Rattus norvegicus: one gene and its partners. The protein of the gene in region 1 interacts with the protein of each later gene in a biochemical or structural test. Links are inferred from orthologs where the notes say so. Each region holds a gene or a part of one and is shown in the gene's direction. Other genes may lie near its edges. The genes, in order: Bmpr1b, Bmp2, Gdf5 and Bmp7.

Region 1 (4,946 bases):
AAACAACAGAAGACTAGAGTTTCTATACAGCGACATGATGCAGATGCTCTCTACTGACCTCAGGGTGCTGGCCTCGGGATGAGGGAGAAGGCTCATTGGTTAAGTGGATTGTTTGGAGTGGACCTGACTTTGGTTTCCAGCTCACAATTGCCTGTAACTGTAGCTGCAGGCAATCTCATGCCCTCTTCTGGCATCTCTGGGTACCTGAGCTCATAGATATGTGCAGGCACACATGCACACACAAAGTGCACGATTCAAATAAAAACATTTTTAAGGTTTGAAATTTAAATATAATTATTTTCTTTTTTTCTTTTTTCCCAAACCATTTTCGTGAACAATGTGCTCTTTCTCAAATCCATAACCTCCATTTTTCAAAGTATTGTTTTACAAACACACACACACACACACACACACACACACACACACACAAAACCTGCTAAGGCTGAATAGAGTTACTTGTACATATATGATTTTAGGTGTGTCCATGATGAAAGTTGGAAATAGTCTTTCTCAATTGGTTATCAAATTATATATTATATATACATAATACATTACGTATATATAATTGTGTAAGTATGTATGTACACACATGAATATAAATATAATATAAGCATGTCTTATGTACTGAATGTATATTTTCTCAAACTGCAAATCTATTTATTGTAAGAATTTAAATGTGAACCCCAAGCAAGTGGGAAAGGCTGATGCCAGGCTGGATAAAGTGAGTGGGACAGACCTGGACTTTAGACTTGTTTTCTGCTCCAGTGTCTCTCCATCCACCTTCCTGCATTCACTTGCCCACAACTGAGCCTCTGGCATGTTGGGAAGTTCAAGAAGAGTTTGGAGCACATTCTGGGCCCACCAAAGTCAGGTGCATAGAACGCTGTTCATAAAGTAAGATGCCCATGGAAATTCAATTAACTGGCTCATTGGCCTGGAGTATTGTCCAATCTGTTTAGTATGTGCTTTTCAAGAAGCTCTGGAGTTCTATTCTTCTGGGGGTAGACAGTGGGTATTGGTATCACTTGAAAGCTCTTCAATGATGATTTTTAATGAAGGGAAATCGTGCCTTGCAGCAAGAACGATTGATAGACCACAGGCAAATCCAGGAGAAAGTTTTAGCAAACCTATCCACAGGTCATTAATCTTGTTAAGTGGTGTAGCATCGTGCTACTGTTAGAGCAGACTTGCGTGATTTAGAATTACCAGTGTTTCTTTGAGCAGTGCAGAATTAGTTAAAATGTTGAAATACATTATGTGTTGTAAACAATCTAGGGAGTAGAATTCAGACTCTCTGAGCATCCCGTTTGCTTGATCCTGTCTTTAAAGTCATCCTTCTCTCTCCTCAAGGCCTCGTGTTTTCTCTTGTCACGAGGGAAATATGAGAGTCTGGGTGAGTCATAAACAGTTCACATGAAAAAGTTTGAGTGAAATTTGGTGTTCATACTTTACTGGTGCCTTAAAAATAGCTTCAGACCTCATGAACACCAACTGAAAGCCAAATTCTGAGTTCTGTATAAAGAGCACATTTCTCTGACTTCTCTCCAACGTCCCTTTCTCTTTCAGTGCCTCAGGCAAATGGGGAAGCTTATGACAGAGTGCTGGGCGCATAATCCTGCCTCCAGGCTGACGGCCCTGAGAGTTAAGAAAACACTTGCCAAAATGTCAGAGTCCCAGGACATTAAACTCTGACGTCAGGTACTTGTGGACAGAGCAAGGAATTACACAGAAGCATCCTTAGCCCAAGCCTTGAACGTTGATCTACTGCCCAGTGAGTTCAGACTTTCCTCTAAGAGAGCAAGCTGGACAGACACAGAGGAACCCAGAAACACGGATTCACCATGGCTTTCTGAGGAGGGGAAACCATTTGGGTAACTTGTTCAAGATATGATGCATGTTGCTTTCTAAGAAAGCCCTGTATTTTGGGATTACCATTTTTTTTAAAGAAGAAAGATACTTTAATTTTTACCAAAATAAAACAAATATTGTAGATGTTTTGAGGTTTATACAGTCATAGTTTAAATAATAACAAAAGTTCTTCCTAGAAACGTTCCTGGAAGTCAAAATGTTTTTTCCATTGGCAAATTACTCTTGCACTCTAGAAAACAGAGCAGACTGTGAACATAAATTAGAATTCAACTTACCTGCTTCCCTGCTCCAGGCACCTCAGACTGTTTGGGCCAGCCCTGCTATGAGCTGCCAGTGCAGTGTGAATGCACATGCATACAAGTCCCAAATGCCTGGGACCACAGTTTGAAATCCTCTTGCAGCTTCAGCCAGAGTGGAACAAATGAAGGGTTTATGTCACTGATAGGATTATGTGTGGGTGGCTTCTTCAGAACCACTCCTGCTTCTGGGTGTGTTAGGCAGCTCTTTTAGGCAATTCCAGCCCCTCCCCCCCAACCCCTGCTTTCATTAAACACCAGCAAAGCCTTCTCATGAGCGGAGAATCAATCGACACGGGCATGCTTTTGTTCTTGTAAATCAGAAGATCAATATTAAATAAAACTGTCGCGAGTGTGGTAGAAAGAGGGAGGGAGGGAGAGAGAGAGAGAGAGAGAGAGAGAGAGAGAGAGAGAGAGAGAGAGACAGACAGACAGACAGACAGACAGACAGACAAGGGACTCTTAAATGGAAGTGATTGGAGCTTGTGTCATAAGAAAGACATACCAGTGAGGCAGAGCCGAGGCTGAAGGTGCAGCAGATGTAGATGGCTTGTTTCCTCCCTGTGCCTAAACCCATCACAGCACCCCAGGAGAGAAGTATGGATGCCACAGCTTGTGTACATATGTATAGTTTCATATTGCTGTGTTTTCTAAGTCTCCAACTTCAGAGACAGAGAGGAAGTTTCTGTTGGGTTAACGTCACTAGCCTTTACTTTAAAAATAAGCAGAGGAAAGTGAATGGGGGACATCCAACATCATGGCTGTTGTGATTTCTACTAGAACAGATATGAGTCCAGTATGGACCTCTTACCTGGTATTTCACACCTTAGGTAGGACTCATTTACTCTTGTATGCATTTCACTACTAACTTACAGTGTTTCTGTACAAAACATCTTGTGATTCGGTCCTGTGAGGTCTTAACCCTTGACTCTCTGTGCAAAATCACTGATACGACCATTATTCCATAGAAACAGAACTGCAACAAAGTGTAATGACACACGGCCCTCCTCTCAACTTTATTCATGTAGTCCCTTACTGTGTTTCTTCCATAATGATTAGAAACTGCCTACTGGTTGTTAAGAAAGTGGAAGAACTTGCTGTGCCTTAGAGAACGGCAATTCCTTCCAGAATCCTCCAGGGGTCACTGTTGTCCTATGCATCTCACCGCTGGGTGCTTGAAAGCATGGAGACCTTAGGAAAAATTGACAGCTGCAGGAGAAATGAGCAAATGTTTGACTCTTTTTCTCGAGTAGATGTTCAGCCGGTGGGCTGTTCATCTGGAAAAAAAAAATCCTGAGCTCAATATTTTTGAGCTGTACCTGGAGTTTAGGAGAAGTGTAAAGAGAAGCGCTCCTCTGCGTTGTAATTCACTGTGCGGTGCTGCAGGGCCACTAAGATAGGTTTTCTCAGTTCTTGAATTTGAAAAGATAAAAACAACTGGTTGTTAATTTAACAGTCATCACATTTTGGTCTTACTGAGTCCAGGGCAAGCTAAGCCACGGGAGAGCCTTTTCTCTGTTAAATTATATTTGCCACAGACAGATTTTCCATATATTTCTACCTAACACGTGCCAGTCATCTGAGCCTGGGAGGAAAACATTATCGCCTCTAGACAGATCTGTCTACCGACACCTATGTAAGCATTTTGCCAGTTAAGTGGGTACGCTTTGGTTTTCGTTATCTTAGGTTTGAGTGAGGTTGTGGGGAACCTCTTAGCTCAGACTGTGTTTTCCTATTGGTAGATTTTTTTTCTTTTTTAATTGTGGGCAACTTTAAATCAGAATGTTTTGGATGAGGCTGTTGATGATGTAAAGTGTTCTAGATTTCCAGGGTTCCTGTGAAGAACGGGGGGGGGATTTAAGTGTCCAAATTCCATCTATATGTTTCGTTTTACTGCTTTGGGGGAAAAAAAATCAGCCGTTTATTTGCTAACTATCAACCTTATTTATTCAGTATGAAAATCTTGAAATTATGGAGATCCTTTAAAAGATCCACTCAGTTATTATGAATTTTCAGTAAGAATTTATAATTTATTTATGAATATAATTTCTGTCTTAGTAGAGCCTAATTGAGACAACTAAGTTGTTGTTAAGGACTACCTGTTATCTTCGCGGTAATCCATGATAACATTTAAACTTCTAGCATCTCAGAAAATATGCATTTATTTTATCCTTTGCTTCAACTTCCTGCACGTTAATAATATAACTGACTGCTGCTGACCCTCAGGACTCTTTCAAAGAGCAAGATTTCCTTCTAACTCCTCTCCCCCAAAGGAATCCTAAATTATTAATTGTTAGATGAACTTTGCGTATCCAAGTTTATGGTTGATGTGCGTGTGTGTATATATTATATAAATATAGAGATGTATATGTAAATAAATATGTTCATTCTGGAGTCTGGCACAACCCTAGTATGTGGATTAGAAAGTAAAATATTATGGATGATAAAGTCCTAGATGAAACCTAATATTTATTTATGGAAGCATGAACATTGTTAACTCACAGATGAAGAGCAGTAAACAATATGTCTGACTCAGACAGAGCACCGTGACGTCACTACTGCCTGTTCTTTATATTCCCCCAGTGGGAAGCTTCTTGGGGGGACATGCCGGGTTTTACTTCCATTGGTACTTAGTAATGACCAGGTTTCTTGTTCCTCCTCGGGCCACCCTCATTCATCAGGGGCTTTCTGTTTTCTGTCTGTTGTCACTCTTCTTGGTTTGTGGGTTGAAAGGTAGTGAGAATACATTTTTTTTTAAGCTTGAACATGTTTTCCATCTAA
Region 2 (5,686 bases), on another chromosome or scaffold:
TCTTGGGGTGGGTCCAACAGCTGTCAACTTTCTCTTCCTCATTAAAGGCAACTTTCTGATTTAAATCTCATATATGTTTGGAGGTTTTGCTTTGCTCCACAAGTCTTCCCGATGACAGAAGCAATTGTTAACTTCTCAATTAAACTTGATAGGGAAGGAAATGGCTTCAGAAGCGATCAGCACTTTTGGCTTACATGTCTGAGTGGAGTGTTTTATTGCCTTCTTGTTTGGTCTCTCACGATTTAGAGTGACAATTTCTACAACACATCTTAAGAAGGAATACAGTAACTGATTGCAGATTGCTGAATCTATTCCTTCTCCTTTAATTTTCCTAGTAGGCAGCCTTCCTTCAAAGTACCTTATTTGCCCTTTACAGCTCTAGAAACAGCCAGGGCCTAATTTCCCTCTGTGGGTTGCTAATCTGATTTAGGTGAGCAGAACCTAGAGTTATTTTAGCTTCCCAACTGAAAAGCTAATACACACGGATAATAGATTATTAAAGCCCCTCCTTCTGGTTTTTCTCTGTCTTTGCTTTGCAAACTTGAAAGATCTGATTCAGAACCTGGTATTACCAATCTGGTCTTCCACAGAAATGTTCTGCCCATAGCTTTGGGGGTCATGTGGGCAACAAGGTGGTAGTATGTATGAAGGCTCCTGAAATGAGGGAGAAGTGGAAAGAGTTCAAAACGAATCCTGGATCAGCAGCTTTGGGGACATTCCAGCTGAGGAAGAAAAGTGGCTTAGCCACAGTCAGAGTCTTGCTTCTGGAGACCTAGTGGAGAGGGCCAGACAGAAAATTCAAAAGTCTCAAACCAGAAATGTCTTGTTACCTGCCTCTGGTGTAGGTGGGTGGGGGAGGGGAGATAAATAGCCCAAGTATGGAAGTGATTGTTTCTATAAAGAGAACTTCTATTAACTCCCATTGTCCCCTCACATGGACAGACAGACAGACACACACACACACACACACACACACAAACACTAGAGGGGACATCCACTTTACATGTGTATATCTATGTACAGAACCTGTACCCTCATTTTTATAATTTACATAAATGAATACATATATGTATATACATCTTTTATTAGATTCATTTATTTGACTATATATGCACATGGGCGCATATAAATGTATGAATATTTATAAAATGTAATAATACACTCGAATGTGTATTGGCTATTTCTTGACATTTTCTTCTCACCATTCAAAACAGAGAAGCGTTTGCTCACATCTTTGCCAACATGTCTGATAACTTCTAGGTTCTTCTTTTTAATGTGATCTTACCTAAAAACTTCAAACTCAAGTTGAATATTGGCCCAGTGGGGGAACTCAGAGGCAAGCCTACCCTGAATTTGCCCTAAACTCGGGCATCTGGGGCACGAATCCTGGTCCCGGGGGTCTGCTTTACACTCAGCCGGGACGCGACCCCTTAGCGGCCGCGCGCTCGCCCCGCCCCGCCCCGCCGCGGCCGCCCCTCAGGGCGCGCCGTCCACACCCCTGCGCGCTGCTCCCGCCCGCCCGGGGATCCCCAGCGCGCTGCGCCTCCGAGGGGGAGGTGTTCGGCCACGGCCGGGAGGGAGCCGGCAGGCGGCGTCTCCTTTAAAAGCCGCGAGCGCCGCGCCACGGCGCCTCCGTCGTCGCCGCCGGAGTCCTCGCCCTGCCGCGCAGAGCCCGGCTCGCACTGCGCCCGCCGCTGCGCTTCCCACAGCCCGCCCGGGATTGGCAGCTCGGGACGAAGCCTCCCTAGCCCACACCGGCCATCGGACGCCCTCAGGGCGAGCGACGCGAGGGTCACCCGGGGCTTCGAGGGGCCGGCACGACACCGGTTGGAGCTGCGAACTGTGCGCGCCCGGCTCTGTGGCCTCAGCTGTCCGGGAGAAGCCAGAGTCGCGGACCGACGCTAAGAGCCGGGAGTCCGGAGCACAGTCTTACCCTCAACGCTGGGCTACTCCGACACGAGAGTGAGCGCCCGAGGCGAGCAGGAAGAGTGATCGGACCCCAGGCTGCCACAAAAGACACTTGGCCCGAGGGCTCGGAGCGTGAGGTCACCCGGTTTGGCAGCCGGGGACGCGCGGCTGGACTGTCTCGAGAATGAGCCCCAGGACGCCGGGACGCCGCAGCCGTGCGGGTTCCGCTGGCGAGCGCTGATGGGGGTGCGCCAGAGTCAGGCTGAGGGATGCGGAGTGGCGGCCCGCCCGCCACCCAGATCTTCGCTGCGCCCTTGCCGGGACCCGGCGTCGCCCACGATGGCTGCCCCGAGCCATGGGTCGCGGCCCAGCTAACGCAGAACGTCCGACCCTCGCCCGGCGAGTCCCGGAGCCGGCCCCGCGCCCCGCCAGCGCTGGTCCCTGAGGAAGACGACAGCAGCAGCCTTGCCTCAGCCTTCCCTCCCCGTCCCTGCCCCGCACTCCTCCCCCTGCTTGAGGCTGTGTGTCAGCACTTGGCTGGAGACTTCTTGAACTTGTCGGGAGAGTGACTTGGGCTCCCCACTTCGCGCCGGTGTCCTCGCCCGGCGGATCCAGTCTTGCCGCCGCCTCCAGCCCGGTCACCTCTCTGTTCCTTGGCCGGCTGGGCCCACCCCAAGACACGGTTCCCTTCGGGGAGAACACCCGGAGAAGGAGGAGGTGAAGAAAGGCAACAGAAGCCCAGTCGCTGCTCCAGGTCCCTCGGACAGAGCTTTTTCCATGTGGAGACTCTCTCAATGGACGTGCCCCCTAGTGCTTCTTAGACGGACTGCGGTCTCCTAAAGGTAGAGGACACGGGCCCGGACCCAGGGCTGGCGGGTGACACCGCTTCCCGCCCGGCGGCGCTGGGCGCCTCGGAGGACCGGTGGAGTGGACGTAAACATACCCTCTCCCGGTGCACGTGCAGCGAGCGGATCCCTAGAGGGGTCAGGCACTCTGAACCCCAGATCCCTCTGTCTTGCCCACCTGGTCTGCGACCTCCTTTCAGCCCGTTCCTCCTCCCCAGTTTTAAATACATTATCAGGGCTGTTTTGGGCTTTACCCCCTCCTCCGCCCCCAAATTGCAGAAATCCATTTAGAGAGTATGGCCGGTGGATTTCACTAGTTCATTGCCCACCAGCACTCCAAGCCTTAGAGATCCTTCGCTATCCTTAAGAACTAGGTCCCATTTAGGAAGCTACTAAAAGTCGGGGTTCTTTTTGTGTGTGTTTACTGACTGTGCGGATGTGTCACAGCTTACACGTGCATTTATAGACACTATCTATTTAGGTCATTGCAGAAAGGTGCATGGATTTCTTGACTGCACAGGGGTCTGGAGAAGGGGACAGAGTGGCCTGTGGGTCAACCTTGAAGTTAGGGGCGTAGGCCACGACTTGCAAGTGGCGTCATTAGTATTAATCTTTAGTTTACCGCTTTCTGAATCTACAATCTACCAGGAAGTTCTATACGGCGCCTCTAAGGAAGTCACTTGTGCATTTGTGTCTGTTTATGTGCAAATGAACGCTGTGCAGTATAGTTGTAAGGGATGCAGTGTCCGAACAATCTATGGGTTCCCAGCTTCCTGACACAGGCTTTACTAGCTAGTGTCACAAGAAAAGGTGACAGACAGTCATTGATTTTTCTTTTTTAAATTGGGAGTTAAGACCAAGCCCCAAGTGAGAAGTCCGGCTGGGACTTAGGGGTTCTTCATCCTCTTGATCATCCAGGCTGTAGCTTGGATGACATGCCAGGAGGGCATCCTGGAGAAGGCCAGCGAGCCCTGTGGGAGCCGGGGCCGCGGGGGCGGGCGGAGGACTGGGCGGGGAACGTGGGTGACTCACGTCGGCCCTGTCCGCAGGTCGACCATGGTGGCCGGGACCCGCTGTCTTCTAGTGTTGCTGCTTCCCCAGGTCCTCCTGGGCGGCGCGGCCGGCCTCATTCCGGAGCTGGGCCGCAAGAAGTTCGCCGGGGCATCCGGCCGCCCCTTGTCCCGGCCTTCGGACGACGTCCTCAGCGAGTTTGAGTTGAGGCTGCTCAGCATGTTTGGCCTGAAGCAGAGACCCACCCCCAGCAAGGACGTCGTGGTGCCCCCCTATATGCTCGACCTGTACCGCCGGCACTCGGGCCAGCCAGGAGCGCCCGCCCCAGACCACCGGCTGGAGAGGGCAGCCAGCCGCGCCAACACCGTGCGCAGCTTCCATCACGAAGGTGAGCGGGCGGCGGGTGGCGGGGCGGGGACAGCGGGCGGAGACTCAGTGGGCAGCCCGGGCCTCCGCTAGCACAGTGGACGGTCCTTCGGCTTCTGTACCGTCCCCTCTGTGGCCCCGAGCCAGGGATTCCCCACTGGTGAGTCCGCACCCTTTTCCTGGCAGGTGGCCAGCAGACAGACTCCTCCCCACTAGAACTGGAGGGAAATCGAGTGATGGGGAAGAGGGTGAGAGACTGGCTAGCCCCTTGTCAGCTCATTGTGGGAGAATTTCACAGAAGGCAGGGAGTTGGGGCTCCTTAAATCTGTGTGGAAGCTCAGATCTGTGGCTTGTGTTCAGGCTGGAGTTTTAAGCTAGGCAGAGGTAGTATTAACAAATCAAATCCAGGGCCCCAAAGCATTCAAATTTGCTGTTCATCTGGGCCTCGTTTGAAAGATTTTTGAATCCCTATCTAATCCCCGTGGGAGATCAATTCCACAATCCATCATACTGTTTCCCCAATGACCTTCCTTTCTCCTGCTTAACTCTTAAGTCTCCAAGTGGAGACAGGTCAAGCCTTCAGATAAAAGCATTTTCTCCCACTGCCTGCTACCTTCCTAGACAAGGTAATGGAATTTTTAAAAAAATACGATATGAGTATGGTTTCCCAAGGTAGAGTAATGTTTATTTCTTCGGAAGGAGATTTAGTGGGTAAGACATGCTGTAGAGGCCTATTGAAGTCTCTTGTGCCAATGTCCTTATAGCAGTTAGTAAAAATAATAATAATAATAATAATAATAATAATAATAATAATAATAATAATCGTGCCTCAGTTCAATTCCGTGTGTGTCACTTTAAATGTGCTTTTGGTTTAATGCAATCTCAATAGGATATCAGTTCCTTCAAGTTCTAGAAGAATTCAGAGTTGTCTGTCAGTGAGCTGCAATTTATAGAACAATGGGGAGCTAGGAGAGAAGTTCCCTTTTTAAAGCTTCGCTTTGCCTTTCTTGAGAGGATACATTTTAAGTAGAAATCTATGCTCTGAAATGGCAGCCCAACCCCCATCCCCAATAAGGGATGACTCAAACTTTGAGAAGTCTGGTTGATAATAGGAAAAAGAGCCACCGGCAGGTCACATAGCAAGGGGTGTATCTTCCTTGAGGCAGCCAATGGTTATGAAGGGCACTAGAAACTGGTGTCTAAGGTTTTCTGGGGACAACGTTCAGTATTGAAAGATAGTGAGACCTTATTCTGCTCCTTAGGGTCTGCTTGCTGAGAGAGGGAGATTCCAGAATGTACACCCCCAGCCCCCGTCCCCAGGGCTAAGCTAATCTTTCTGGGTTAATATTTATTGGAAAATGTTTTGTAGATCAAAACAAACAAACAAAACCACTAGCCAGCACAGCTGTTTTTCCCACTGCCTTTGGAGATAGAGCAGGAAAACAATTTATTCGTGTATTTGTTTATTTATTAGTATTTTCTAATGTGAAAAAAATTATTCTTTACCTGTAAAAAAAAATGAACGAGTTATTTTATCTTTATCTTAACTAAGCTAA
Region 3 (5,683 bases), on another chromosome or scaffold:
GCCCTGGGAATAATTGAAAGACAGATATGGTACAGTGTAGTTATAATCTAATGGGATAGACAGATATGTACATAAATTATGATAGGCATAAGGAATTCAGTTATAATAAAACTTTGAGAAAAAAAAAGCACACAGACTTTAAAAACTGACCTGCATTGGAAGTAGGGGCAGAGACTGAGGCTGGATGGATTTGAACTCTGAGAGCAGAAAGAAGCACAGAAAGTGTGCAGTGGCTGTTTGGAAGCTTCATGACTTCTCTGAGGTGTAAGGGCTACCTTTGTGCGGTCGCTAGTACATGGGTCAGCTCTTGTCCGTTGGGTAGGCTTCAGTTAGAAGGAGGGTTGAGGTTCGGTCCCCAGCTCCGAAAAAAAGAACCAAAAAAAAAAAAAAAGAAGGAGGGTTGAGATGGGAAGGTCCTGGAAGGCAGTAATGAGGGAATTGTAGTAGATTAAAGGGCCAGGAGGGTAGGGCAGTGACGGAGACCTCAGGAAAAAGATGCCAGAGAGGACTGTGAAAGTCAGTCACAAGCGAAGACCAGAGTGATGACCTGGATGACCAGAGGGACTGTAATAAGTTCAAACTGTCCTCAGAACTCCTTAAAGAGGGTGGGTGGCGCCTTGGTCTGAAGTGAGCTCCTCTTCAGACTTAGGAGCTATCAGTGAAGACTTGAATGGAGCTAGGAGCAAAATTATGAGGGGTGGGGGTTGGGGTGGGGGAGAAGAGTACTTGCTGCTCTTAGGAAAGACAGAATTCTGCTCCTAGCACCACATCAGGATGTCTCACAGCTGCCTGCAACTCCAGCCCCAGGGGACATGACATGATGCCCCTTTCTGGTCTCCTCTGGCACCCTCTTTCCATACATACAAATAAACAAAACAAATACGAGAGAGAGAGAGAGAGAGAGAGAGAGAGAGAGAGAGAGAGAGAGAGCGCCTAGATCTGCAGAGTGAGGACTTTGTTTGGTGTTGTCTTGGTGAGGACTTTGTGCACGCTAACCCTGCACTGGACTACTGAGTGACATGCCTAGCCTCCAGCAGAGAGTCTCTAGAAACCGACTTAGCATATGAATGAATCTGTTAGGTCAGCTCTAAGAGCAGAGGATTAATAAGGAAAGCTAGACTAGGTGGTGCAGTTCTATAATCCTACTCTGTAGCCAAGCAGGTGGAGGTAGAAGATCAGGAGTTCAAGGCCAGCCTTGTATATATAGTGAATCTGAGGCCATCGTGAGTTACCTGAGACATTATCTAAAGAAGAAAAGGAAGAGAGGGAGAGGGGACTCTCTTCAGTTAAGCAGGTATTCAATTCTTCACCAGCTCCTAGAAAAACAACCCCCGGAGAACTTGTTTTTCCAACTTCCTGCAGGGGTCGCTGCTGCCTTAGGCTGGGGCTGCCACCTCGGGCCTCAGCCAATTTCTAAGAAAACTGGCGGTCTTTGCTTGGGTAGTGGCTGAGGTACGCACACCCTGGACCTGTTTCCAGCCAAGGGGGCTACAGGATGGCAGTGCTCAGCCAATGGCATTTGGTGGGGGTGGTATAGTGGGCAATGACTTTTTTTTTCCTGTTTTTTGGGTCACAAGTTTATCAAAATAAAAGAAAGTGTGGGTAAACGCTGCCATCTGTGCTGTCCTCAACACACGCACACACATGTGCACACACACATATATACACACACACACACCCTACACACCACACTCCACACCACACACACACACACACCCCACACACACCCCACACTCTACACCACACACACACACACACACACACACACACACACACCCGAGGTCCCAGATGAGACAGAGAGATTGAAATTGCTTTACAGACACTCCAAGGACTTCACTGAAAACCTACCTCGCATGTTTAGTCCCTGCAGGTCTCTGCACTCGCTCTTCAATCTCTCCACTCAGGATGGTGGGGTGAGCTGCTCCAGGAGGTGGAGGTGAAGACCCCTGAGTCTACTCTGGGATGGGGAGGCCCCCTAAGCCTGAGTCCTGCTATGGGGCTCTGAGCCAAGAGCCCCCATGAGCCATGGCCTCCAAAGGGCAGCGGTGATTTTTTTCACATAAATATATCGCACTTAAATGAATTTAGACAGCATGACATCAGAGAGTAATTAAATTGGTTTGGGTTGGAATTCCGTTTCCAATTCCTGAGTTCAGGTTTGTAAAAGATTTTTCTGAGCACCTGCAGGTTTGTGTGTGTGTGTGTGTGTGTGTGTGTGTGTGTGTGTGTAAGTATTTTCACTGGAAAGGATTCAAAATTAGAGGGAAAAAAAACTGGAGCGCACAGGCAGCATTACGCCATTCTTCCTTCTTGGAAAAATCCCTCAGCCTTATACAAGCCTCCTTCAAGCCCTCAGTCAGTTGTGCGGGAGAAAGGGGGCGGTCGGCTTTCTCCTTTCAAGAACGAGTTATTTTCAGCTGCTGACTGGAGACGGTGCACGTCTGGACACGGGAGCATTTCCACTATGGGACTGGATACAGACACACGCCCGGCGGACTTCAAGACGCTCACTCTGAGGAGAAAGCCCTGCCTGCCGCTGCTGCTACTGCTGCCACCGCTGCCTCTGAAGACCCACTCCTTTCATGGTTTTTCCTGCCAAGCCAGAGACACCTTCGCTGCTGCTGCTGCCTTTCTCTGTGGTGTCATTCAGCGGCTGGCCAGAGGATGAGACTCCCCAAACTCCTCACTTTGTTGCTTTGGCACCTGGCGTGGCTGGACCTGGGACTCGTCTGCACTGTGTTGGGTGCCCCTGACTTAGGCCAGAGACCCCCAGGGGCCAGGCCAGGGTTGGCCAAGGCGGAGGCCAAGGAGAGGCCACCTCTGACTCGGAATATCTTTAGGCCAGGGGGTCACAGCTATGGTGTGGGGGCCACCAGTGCCAGGGCAAAGGGAAGCTCTGGGCAGACACAGGCCAAGAAGGATGAACCCAGAAAGGTGCCCCCCAGAGCCAGTGGCTCTGAAACCAAGCCAGGACCCTCTCCCCAGACTAGGCAGGCTGCAGCCCGGACTGTAACCCCAAAAGGACAGCTTTCTGGGGGCAAAGCATCTGCAAAAGCAGGATCTGCCCCCAGCTCCTTCTTGCTGAAGAAGACCAGAGAGCCTGGGACCCCTCGAGAGCCTAAGGAGCCATTCCGCCCGCCCCCCATCACACCCCACGAATATATGCTCTCGCTGTACAGGACGCTGTCCGATGCTGACAGAAAGGGAGGCAACAGCAGCGTGAAGCTGGAGGCTGGCCTGGCCAACACCATCACCAGCTTTATTGACAAAGGGCAAGGTGAGGGGGTGGGGTGGCAGGGAGGGGCATTTGCACAGACCTAGAAGTTCCAAAGTCTTGGAGTATGCAGGTGGGGGACAGTGTGTGTACCCAGCCTAGGGTGGGAATCTGGAACTTATCGTACCTAGGGACCTTGGAGTTCAACTTCTGCAAGGTGCAGAATGGACTCTAAAATGCAGAGAGGAGCTAAGATCTGCTACTTGGACACTAGACTCCAAGACCCATTCTTGATTACTGAGAGGTACTCTGTACCCCCGTGGGTTGGTAAAGTCTCTAAGCTTCGGTTTTTCTCAGAGAGCAGAGAGAAGGAAACTTTAGGTCCCCATGGTTCTTCAACTTTACCCTCAGATAGGGGTAGAGGGAGCAGGCTATGTGAGGACAGAAAACTTGTCATCTTGGAGTCACAGAGAGAGGCAGCTGGCTGAGGGCACACGGAGTCCCTTCTTCCCTGGGGTCTCTTCTTATAGGTATACTACACGGGCATTGGACGGGGTGACAGCTGAGCATTCTGAGTGGGAATCAGTAACCTGGGAGAGTACTTGTCTTTCTTGCGTCGCCGGAGGTCTGCCCACCTAGTGTTTCAGGCTCTTCCTCTCAACTTGCTGTGTGTTCTCAGCAAATCTCTTCCCTTCTGAGTCTCAGGTTCTCCACAGTGTGGAGATAGTTGGGCCGGTGGCTGGCAGTTGGTGAGGTTTCTTGCGGGTTCACAGGCTCTGGTGCTGAGTCTCGGGACTTTGGCTGGCAGGGTGGGGGAGGGGCCAGAGAGTGGGAGAGGCTTCTCATTAGAGTTGGTCTGTAGGGGAATGACAAGGGGGTGGGGGAGGTACAGAGGCAGCAGGTCTGGCAGAGGTGGGGGAGGTGGCCTGGCTGCCTGCCCAGCCAGGGAAAGCTGTGACCCCTCGAGGGCTCATAAAATAAGTCCTTGTGTCCCCCCCCAGCACTAAGGGAGAGAGGGGAGGGGGAGATGGGGAGTTTAAAGGCCTAATTAGTTACCTTCTAGAGCAATATTTGAATGTTCCCTAATGGCATATTGGCATTTAGGAAGGAGGGCATGCTGATTCAGAGATTACACACACACACACACACACACACACACACACACACACACACACATACACCCTTATATTTTATACACTCAGTAAATGAATCATATACATACACACATACATATATAGCATCATTTTCAAGTATTCATACAATCCCAACTCTACTTACATATGCCAGTAGCATATATATATATATACACATATATATATATCCATCCTTATACTTACTCATGAACCCAATTGCACACACACACACACACACACACACACACACACACACCCACACCTGGAACACTCATATACCAAAAAAATCATGAAATTGGGAACTTGGGAAGTTGAGTTTGCAGATCGGCTTTGTTACTGATTTGCTGTGTTACCCACGTCAGTTTCCTCCCCAACTCTGTGTCTTGCCCATAGCAAGAACGCTAACATCATTAAGGTATGAGAAGCTCAGAATGGACTATTCAAATTCTAGGCTACAGTTTTACTTCTCTATTTTTCCCCTAGCTAGATGACATTGAATAAGCCCCTAATTTACTCTGCGCTTCAGTTTTCTCCTCTGGAAAAGTGGGTAAGACAGGTACACACCTCCTGTCTTATTTACAGGAGATAATCATGCTGGATCATGGATGGGGCGGACACTGGTAGAAGACAGTTATAAGGCCAATGACTCTAATACACATGGGCACAAACATCAGGGGCACTCAGATAATACGCAGCCTCATACCTACCTTCATTGGGAAAAGGGCTCTTGGTGGTTTGTGTGTTGGCTTCAGCCATAGTGGGGAAGAGGTTAGAGAAACCTCTTTTGATTGGGAGAGAGCTAGGTCCTCTCTGGAGACCCAGAGGTGGCGGGCTCTCTTGGTGAAGTGACAGAATTGACTTCTGACTGTTTTCTCTAGATGACCGAGGCCCTGTGGTCAGGAAGCAGAGGTACGTGTTTGACATCAGTGCCTTGGAGAAGGATGGGCTGTTGGGGGCTGAACTGCGGATCTTACGGAAGAAGCCCTTGGACGTGGCCAAGCCAGCGGTCCCCAGTAGCGGGCGGGTTGCCCAGCTGAAGCTGTCCAGCTGCCCCAGCGGCCGGCAGCCGGCAGCCTTGCTGGATGTGCGCTCCGTGCCAGGCCTGGATGGATCTGGCTGGGAGGTGTTCGACATCTGGAAACTCTTCCGAAATTTTAAGAACTCAGCGCAGCTGTGCCTGGAGCTGGAGGCCTGGGAACGGGGCCGGGCCGTGGACCTCCGTGGCCTGGGCTTTGAACGTGCTGCCCGACAGGTCCACGAGAAAGCCCTGTTCCTGGTGTTTGGGCGTACTAAGAAACGGGACCTGTTCTTTAATGAGATTAAGGCCCGCTCTGGC
Region 4 (5,618 bases), on another chromosome or scaffold:
GGAACCTGCTGGCTGGGCTCTTCTTGATAACCTTTTCAGGAAAGTCCTTCCTTCTGAAGCTGTCTGTCCCGCTTGTCATTTCATCTGTGAAGCCCAGTCTCTCTGGGGACTGCAGTGACCCAGGGTGCTGTTTTACGGACAGAGACTACAGTGGTTCTCCTGTCATGGCCGCCCATGGGTCACATGTCCCTCCCCTACCCAAGCCCAGCAAGGCGTCCGATCTCTGCCTTCTTGGCTGCCTCCTCCACCTGAGCTCTGATGCTTCTCAGAGAGAAGAAACGGGAAAGACTGCCATGCTTCTGTCCCAGACCTCCTTGATGTTTCCGGGGGCCTGAGAACCAGCTAGTCATGGAGGTCGCCACACTGGCTTGATCACTCTGATGTCCTCCTGCCTGGCCTATGTGTGGCACTCCTGCTGGCCACAGAAGGCCACACACAGCCTTCCGAAGTAAGGGCAGGGCCCCTTTGTTTATTCAATATTAAGAACTGTAACTTGGTCACTGGAGGTCATGTCTCCAGCTCACAGCCTGAGTGGCCTCAGCTCACAAGCCACAGCAGGTCCAGGGAGGGGCCTCTCAGAGCTGTGCTGGCAGGGGACACAGTACTGTTGGTGTCCACAGCCTGGACTATGACCTGCAGGTCTCTTTTGGGGCCATCCCTGCGGCCCCTCAGGCAGCCACATGGTCTAAAATCCTCCCAAGGAGCCCAGAGAGCCCTAGGGTAGCTATCTCTGTTTCCAGAAGCCCGGAAGACCAGGCTGTCCCATTTCACCCTAGGACTTCAAGATGGAGCCCTCTACTCAAGGTCCTTCCCAAGCCCCTCTTGCCACTCTTTAATTCAGACTCCCATGGATATTCTTGGAGCCCGCCTTCAGCAGAGCAGGGAGGCCTGGCTTACCACCCCACAGCTCACTGCCATTCTGAGTGAATGCTGTTTTGCTCCCATTTTTCAGAAATGGAAACCGAGGCTCTAAAGAGCAGCTATCCACTGAGAGCTCCAGCATCTGTCTGGGTCCTTTCTTTCTGTGAAGAGAGGGAGGCTAGTCCTTTGCGACAGGAAAATTCAGTGTGGGTGTGTGGGGGGGGGGTTGTCCTGAACTTGGGTACAATGCCCAACTCCCTACTCCTCAGGCCCTACCTGGGGCTGGGGGTAGGGTTGTTAGACAGTAAGGCTTTGGCCCCTTGTGCCAGGATAAGGGGTGGGTGGACCCCCCCAAGAGGAGGGGGTGGGAGCACTCTCTAGTCCCAGATTTCACTTATGAACTCTGCAGAGCTGCAACATCTGGGGATCCGCAGTTCAAAAATACTAGGGGAAAAAAAAGCCTCGAAGTACCTGTACCGGATCCCTTGGGTGCTGAACCTGAGGAGGAGGAGGGAGGAGGATGAGGGAAGAGGAGTAGGGGTAGGTGGAGGAGGAGGAGGACGACGATGACAGTGTGTGTGTGTGTGTGTGTGTGTGTGTGTGTGTGTGTGTGTGTGTGTGTTTGTGTGTGTTGGGGAGTGAAGTGCAGAAAATAAAAGTAACGTCTGTAGGAGGAAACAACTTTATCTCCACTTTATCTTCGGTCCTGGAAGGTTACCAGAGGAAGTGGCACCCGAGGGGGAGGGGCAGGGAGAGAACTTTCCCTGAGGAGCAAAAGCCAGGGCAGCCGAAGCTGGCAGGCGGTGGGAGTACGGGCGGGGGTGGGCGGGTGTTTCTGCTTGACTGGAGCAAATGAAGTGTTCGGGAGGTTCGAAAGATGAGCCTTGTCCAAGAGTGGCCACCTCCGAGGAGCCTTCTCGGATTCCTGCGCTCCCTCCGGGATGCTTTCCTAGCACAGCCTATAGTTGCTACACTTTGGCCACTTCCAAGTGCGAGTCTCTAGAGGGCTGCAGCCTCGGATTCCTCTCTCTGCGCCCCTGAGGCGTCCGTCCCAGTGCCGGACACCCGGTGGGCACTCGGTAAATATTTGTAGAGCGCCCTGGGAGGAATGAATGAAGCCATTGGGCCAGGCTTGGGGAGGGCGGGGACAGGCGCAGGTGGGAGGCCGCGGGAGCGGGAGGGGCGGGGAAGTCGGTCCTCCTGCTCCTCCCCCCACTCCTCGGCCCCAGCGCGCCCCATTCCGGGGCTCCCGAGGCGGCTGGCGGGCGATCTGGGGCGCGCAGGACTGGAGAAGCGACCTGGGGTCCTTGTTTGGGGCGCGGGAGATCGGAAGGGTTTTTTTTTCCCGCTGGTGCCCGCGGGCCCGAGCGCGAGCAGAGTGGGAGGAGGGAGCGAGGGTTCGCCCAGCGCCCTGCTGCCTCCCCGGCACTCGCTCTCCGGACTTGAAGGTCTGCAAACTGCTGCTCCTCCCACCCCGGCCCGCCTCCTCGCTCTCTTGCTCTCTCTCTGGAGTTGCTGTGCTAGCCTTGCGGTGCGTCCTGGCGAGTGCGGGCCGAGGGGCCCCGGGCCAGAACTGAGTAGAGGACTGGGGCGTCTCGGGCAGAGCGCAGCGGGCCAGGGAGTGGCCATGAGTGGCGAGGCCACGGTGAAGCTCGTCTGCAGCAAGTGACCTCGGGTCGTGGACCGCTGCCCTGCCCCCTCCGCTGCCACCTGGGGCGGCGCGGGCCCGGTGCCCCGGATCGCGCGTAGAGCCGGCGCGATGCACGTGCGCTCGCTGCGCGCTGCGGCGCCACACAGCTTCGTGGCGCTCTGGGCGCCTCTGTTCTTGCTGCGCTCTGCCTTGGCCGACTTCAGCCTGGACAACGAGGTGCACTCCAGTTTCATCCACCGGCGCCTCCGCAGTCAGGAGCGGCGGGAGATGCAGCGGGAAATCCTGTCCATCTTGGGCTTGCCCCATCGTCCGCGCCCGCACCTCCAGGGAAAACATAATTCGGCGCCCATGTTCATGTTGGACCTGTACAACGCCATGGCGGTGGAGGAGAGTGGGCCGGACGGACAGGGCTTCTCCTACCCCTACAAGGCCGTCTTCAGTACCCAGGGTCCCCCTTTGGCCAGCCTGCAGGACAGCCACTTCCTCACCGACGCCGACATGGTCATGAGCTTCGTCAACCTAGGTGAGTGGCGGTAGGAGGTGATATATCTCAGACCAGGGCTACTTTGGGACAGGGAGAGGGTGCCTGCTTTCAACCACTGTGGTCCACCTTCCCATTTGCAAAGCATCAGTGCCGGCCAGAGACTCTTGCCCCCGGGTCTTGGTAAACTTTAAGCTCTGTGAGTCTTTGAGTCTTGCCGGCTCGGAGGGTTTGTGGGGGGTACCGAGAGGGAAGGACCTGCCCTGAGTCTCTTTGCCTGCTCCGCCGCGCGTTCATCTCACTCAGGGGCGGGAGGTCCCGGCCCGGCAGCGGCTTAGTTCAAAGCGCCCGGCTGGGTCATGTGAGCTGAACCGGCTTCAGCGGCCCGCGCTACCTGGATTTAAAGGGCCCTTGAGAGTAAAGCTGCCTTCCCGCCTTTCCTCCGCCCCTTTGAGCCCAGCTTGGCTCTGGCATCTCGCACATCCCCTTTCCTTGCCCTCTCTGGCCAGCCCTACCTGTCCCTTTGCGGTGCGCCTTCTCGGCGCGCGCTCGGAGTGTCGCGGGGCTCCTCTCCTAGCCGCCAGTCGCCCACCTTTGGACTCTCGGCTGGAGCCGGGGAAAGAACGTTGCCATTGCGAGTTTTCTATTTTAAATATTTAATGATAGGTCCCGGGCGGGCAGAATCCATTTTCAGCGTTTATCACGTGTGGCGCGCAAACCACGGGTTTTGGCGATTGGGTGGCTGGGGACCTCGGAACAGAGGCCGCCATGGAATGGCTGGGGAAACCGTTTCCATACTGTAGTTCCAGCCAACCAAGGGATGCGAGGCTGGGTTACGGCTGGTCTGAGACAGCTCCCCCTGCATCTGTGCGCGCACAAGTATCTAACTTGCTCAAACTAACCCCCAACCGTGCGCTGTGGGGCTGGCCATCAAATATTTGGCTTTGGTGATAACACACCCTGATAGTGCTGTTTCCTGAGTCACTTTTCTTCTGCTTGTGGAAGTTGCTGAGAAAACCCCAAGTCAAGACACCAAACACACCATGGGCGCCCGTCAACCTGGAAATAATGAAGCTTAAGGCCACCCCCCCCCCCTTTTCTCTCTCACTGGGCACCTGGGGCTCTGAAGGGATCTCCGGGAAGAAAGGGTCCACGTTAATCCTCTCAGCTCCAGATAAAGGCCTTGGAGCTTCTGGGAGACCATTGTCTGTTTCCATTTAAGATCAAAAAGTGTCAAATAATGAATCAAGCAAGGGTCAGGGTGTAAAGGCCTGTGATAGAGCTGACAAAATATTACAGAGCAAATTCAAATTCTCCTCAGACACTTGTTAAGAAGAGGTCCTGCTTTGGGATAGCCTCCAAACCCTGAAGGTAGGAAAGGCCAATTGCAAAGAGATTTTTCCTGGGGGTAGGGCTTGGTGTGCTGGGAGAGGGAGGCCGCCTTTCACTGCGTCCATTTTTTTAAAAAAAATGTGGATTTATTACCAAAAACTAAAGTCGACTCCTCAATAGAGACTTAGCAGTATGTGGTCAACGTGGATCTGCGAACCTATCCTGAAGGCAGGCATAACAAGGCCCTGGGTGAGGGTCAGGGCTTATGGCCTCTTCTGTTCTCCGGTGTGATCTCCAGGAAGCCAGTGAGTGGGTCCTAGCTGACAGTTCAGAGCTGGTCCATCGAGCTGCAACAGATAATCCCAGACTTTGGTGCCAGTCTCTGTGTTTCAGGTCTGGCCGTGTGGCCCCAGCTGGCTTCCCTCATCCCAAAGGGCCAGGTGGCTTCCAGGGCAGCTCCCAGGGCCCTGCTGGGAACCTGGCAGGGGCGGTTGCTCCCCACCCCCAAGCCCCGGCCTCCCTCGGGTACAAGCTGGGGCTTGCTGGGGAGGCCACAGCTGGGTGGCTTCCTCTGGCTGCACACACACCTTTCTTTCAGTCCGTTCTTTCTTTCATGTTGACAGGACAAAGCCTGGCTTGTCTGAGCCTCTTAATCAGTGGGGCTGGCCGTGGGCTTTTGTGGGACTGTCCTTTCTCAGGCATGGCTTTCTGGACCATCACTCCTAATTAGATAGCAGGGTGGCTTTTAACAGGACCCAGGGATAGGGTCTTGTTTTCTCTCTCTCCTTCTCTCGCTAAGCTAGAGGTAATTAGGGGAAGCCCCAGACTGTAGCTGCTAAGAGCTTCCTGTAGGTGCATCTTTAATCTCTGCTGGGCCACAGCACAGGCATAGGCCTCCTGCTCCTGCTGCTATGACCTGGGGATGGCAGCTGGGTTGAAGAAGGGTGTAGCGACCCCCAGAGACTCATCCCCACACTGAGGCTGCTGAGAAAGCGTAGTCTGGTCAGAAATAGACAAGTTTTAGAATGCCAGGTTCACGCTTACCCTTTGCTCCCCGAATGAGAAAAGGTCCTGGTTCCTGTCAAACCACCCCTTGTCACCCTTAGAGCATTTGGTGTTGGTGCCAGAGACCGGACCCCCTGGCTGCCTTCCACACACACCTCTGCCCACACACCTCCGCCATTCTCCCTCAGGCCTGCCTGCTTGGGGGACCCCCTGCCTCAACCCTGAAGGCTTTTGCAGATCCACTGCCTCTCTCCTCCTGTCTGCAGCCAAACTGGTTTTTGTTCTTGT

The links.
Region 2: the proteins of Bmpr1b (region 1) and Bmp2 form a complex in vitro, tested with the Homo sapiens proteins (3 studies listed by BioGRID and IntAct, with this or other methods). The link is inferred for Rattus norvegicus from reciprocal best matches to the Homo sapiens genes BMPR1B and BMP2.
Region 3: the proteins of Bmpr1b (region 1) and Gdf5 interact in a biophysical measurement, tested with the Homo sapiens proteins (3 studies listed by BioGRID and IntAct, with this or other methods). The link is inferred for Rattus norvegicus from reciprocal best matches to the Homo sapiens genes BMPR1B and GDF5.
Region 4: the proteins of Bmpr1b (region 1) and Bmp7 form a complex in vitro, tested with the Homo sapiens proteins (2 studies listed by BioGRID). The link is inferred for Rattus norvegicus from reciprocal best matches to the Homo sapiens genes BMPR1B and BMP7.

What each region holds. Positions count from the first base shown.
Region 1 is NC_086020.1:233,211,862-233,216,807, reverse strand, and holds part of Bmpr1b (bone morphogenetic protein receptor type-1B), read left to right. Parts: intron 1-1,566; coding exon 1,567-1,692; 3' UTR 1,693-4,946. UniProt on the Homo sapiens protein: On ligand binding, forms a receptor complex consisting of two type II and two type I transmembrane serine/threonine kinases.
Region 2 is NC_086021.1:141,263,018-141,268,703, forward strand, and holds the start of Bmp2 (bone morphogenetic protein 2 precursor), read left to right. Parts: upstream 1-2,506; 5' UTR 2,507-2,750; intron 2,751-3,802; 5' UTR 3,803-3,809; coding exon 3,810-4,152; intron 4,153-5,686. UniProt on the Homo sapiens protein: Growth factor of the TGF-beta superfamily that plays essential roles in many developmental processes, including cardiogenesis, neurogenesis, and osteogenesis. Induces cartilage and bone formation.
Region 3 is NC_086021.1:164,915,337-164,921,019, reverse strand, and holds the start of Gdf5 (growth/differentiation factor 5 preproprotein), read left to right. Parts: upstream 1-2,426; 5' UTR 2,427-2,664; coding exon 2,665-3,277; intron 3,278-5,225; coding exon 5,226-5,683. UniProt on the Homo sapiens protein: Growth factor involved in bone and cartilage formation. During cartilage development regulates differentiation of chondrogenic tissue through two pathways.
Region 4 is NC_086021.1:182,131,725-182,137,342, reverse strand, and holds the start of Bmp7 (bone morphogenetic protein 7 precursor), read left to right. Parts: upstream 1-2,196; 5' UTR 2,197-2,620; coding exon 2,621-3,035; intron 3,036-5,618. UniProt on the Homo sapiens protein: Growth factor of the TGF-beta superfamily that plays important role in various biological processes, including embryogenesis, hematopoiesis, neurogenesis and skeletal morphogenesis.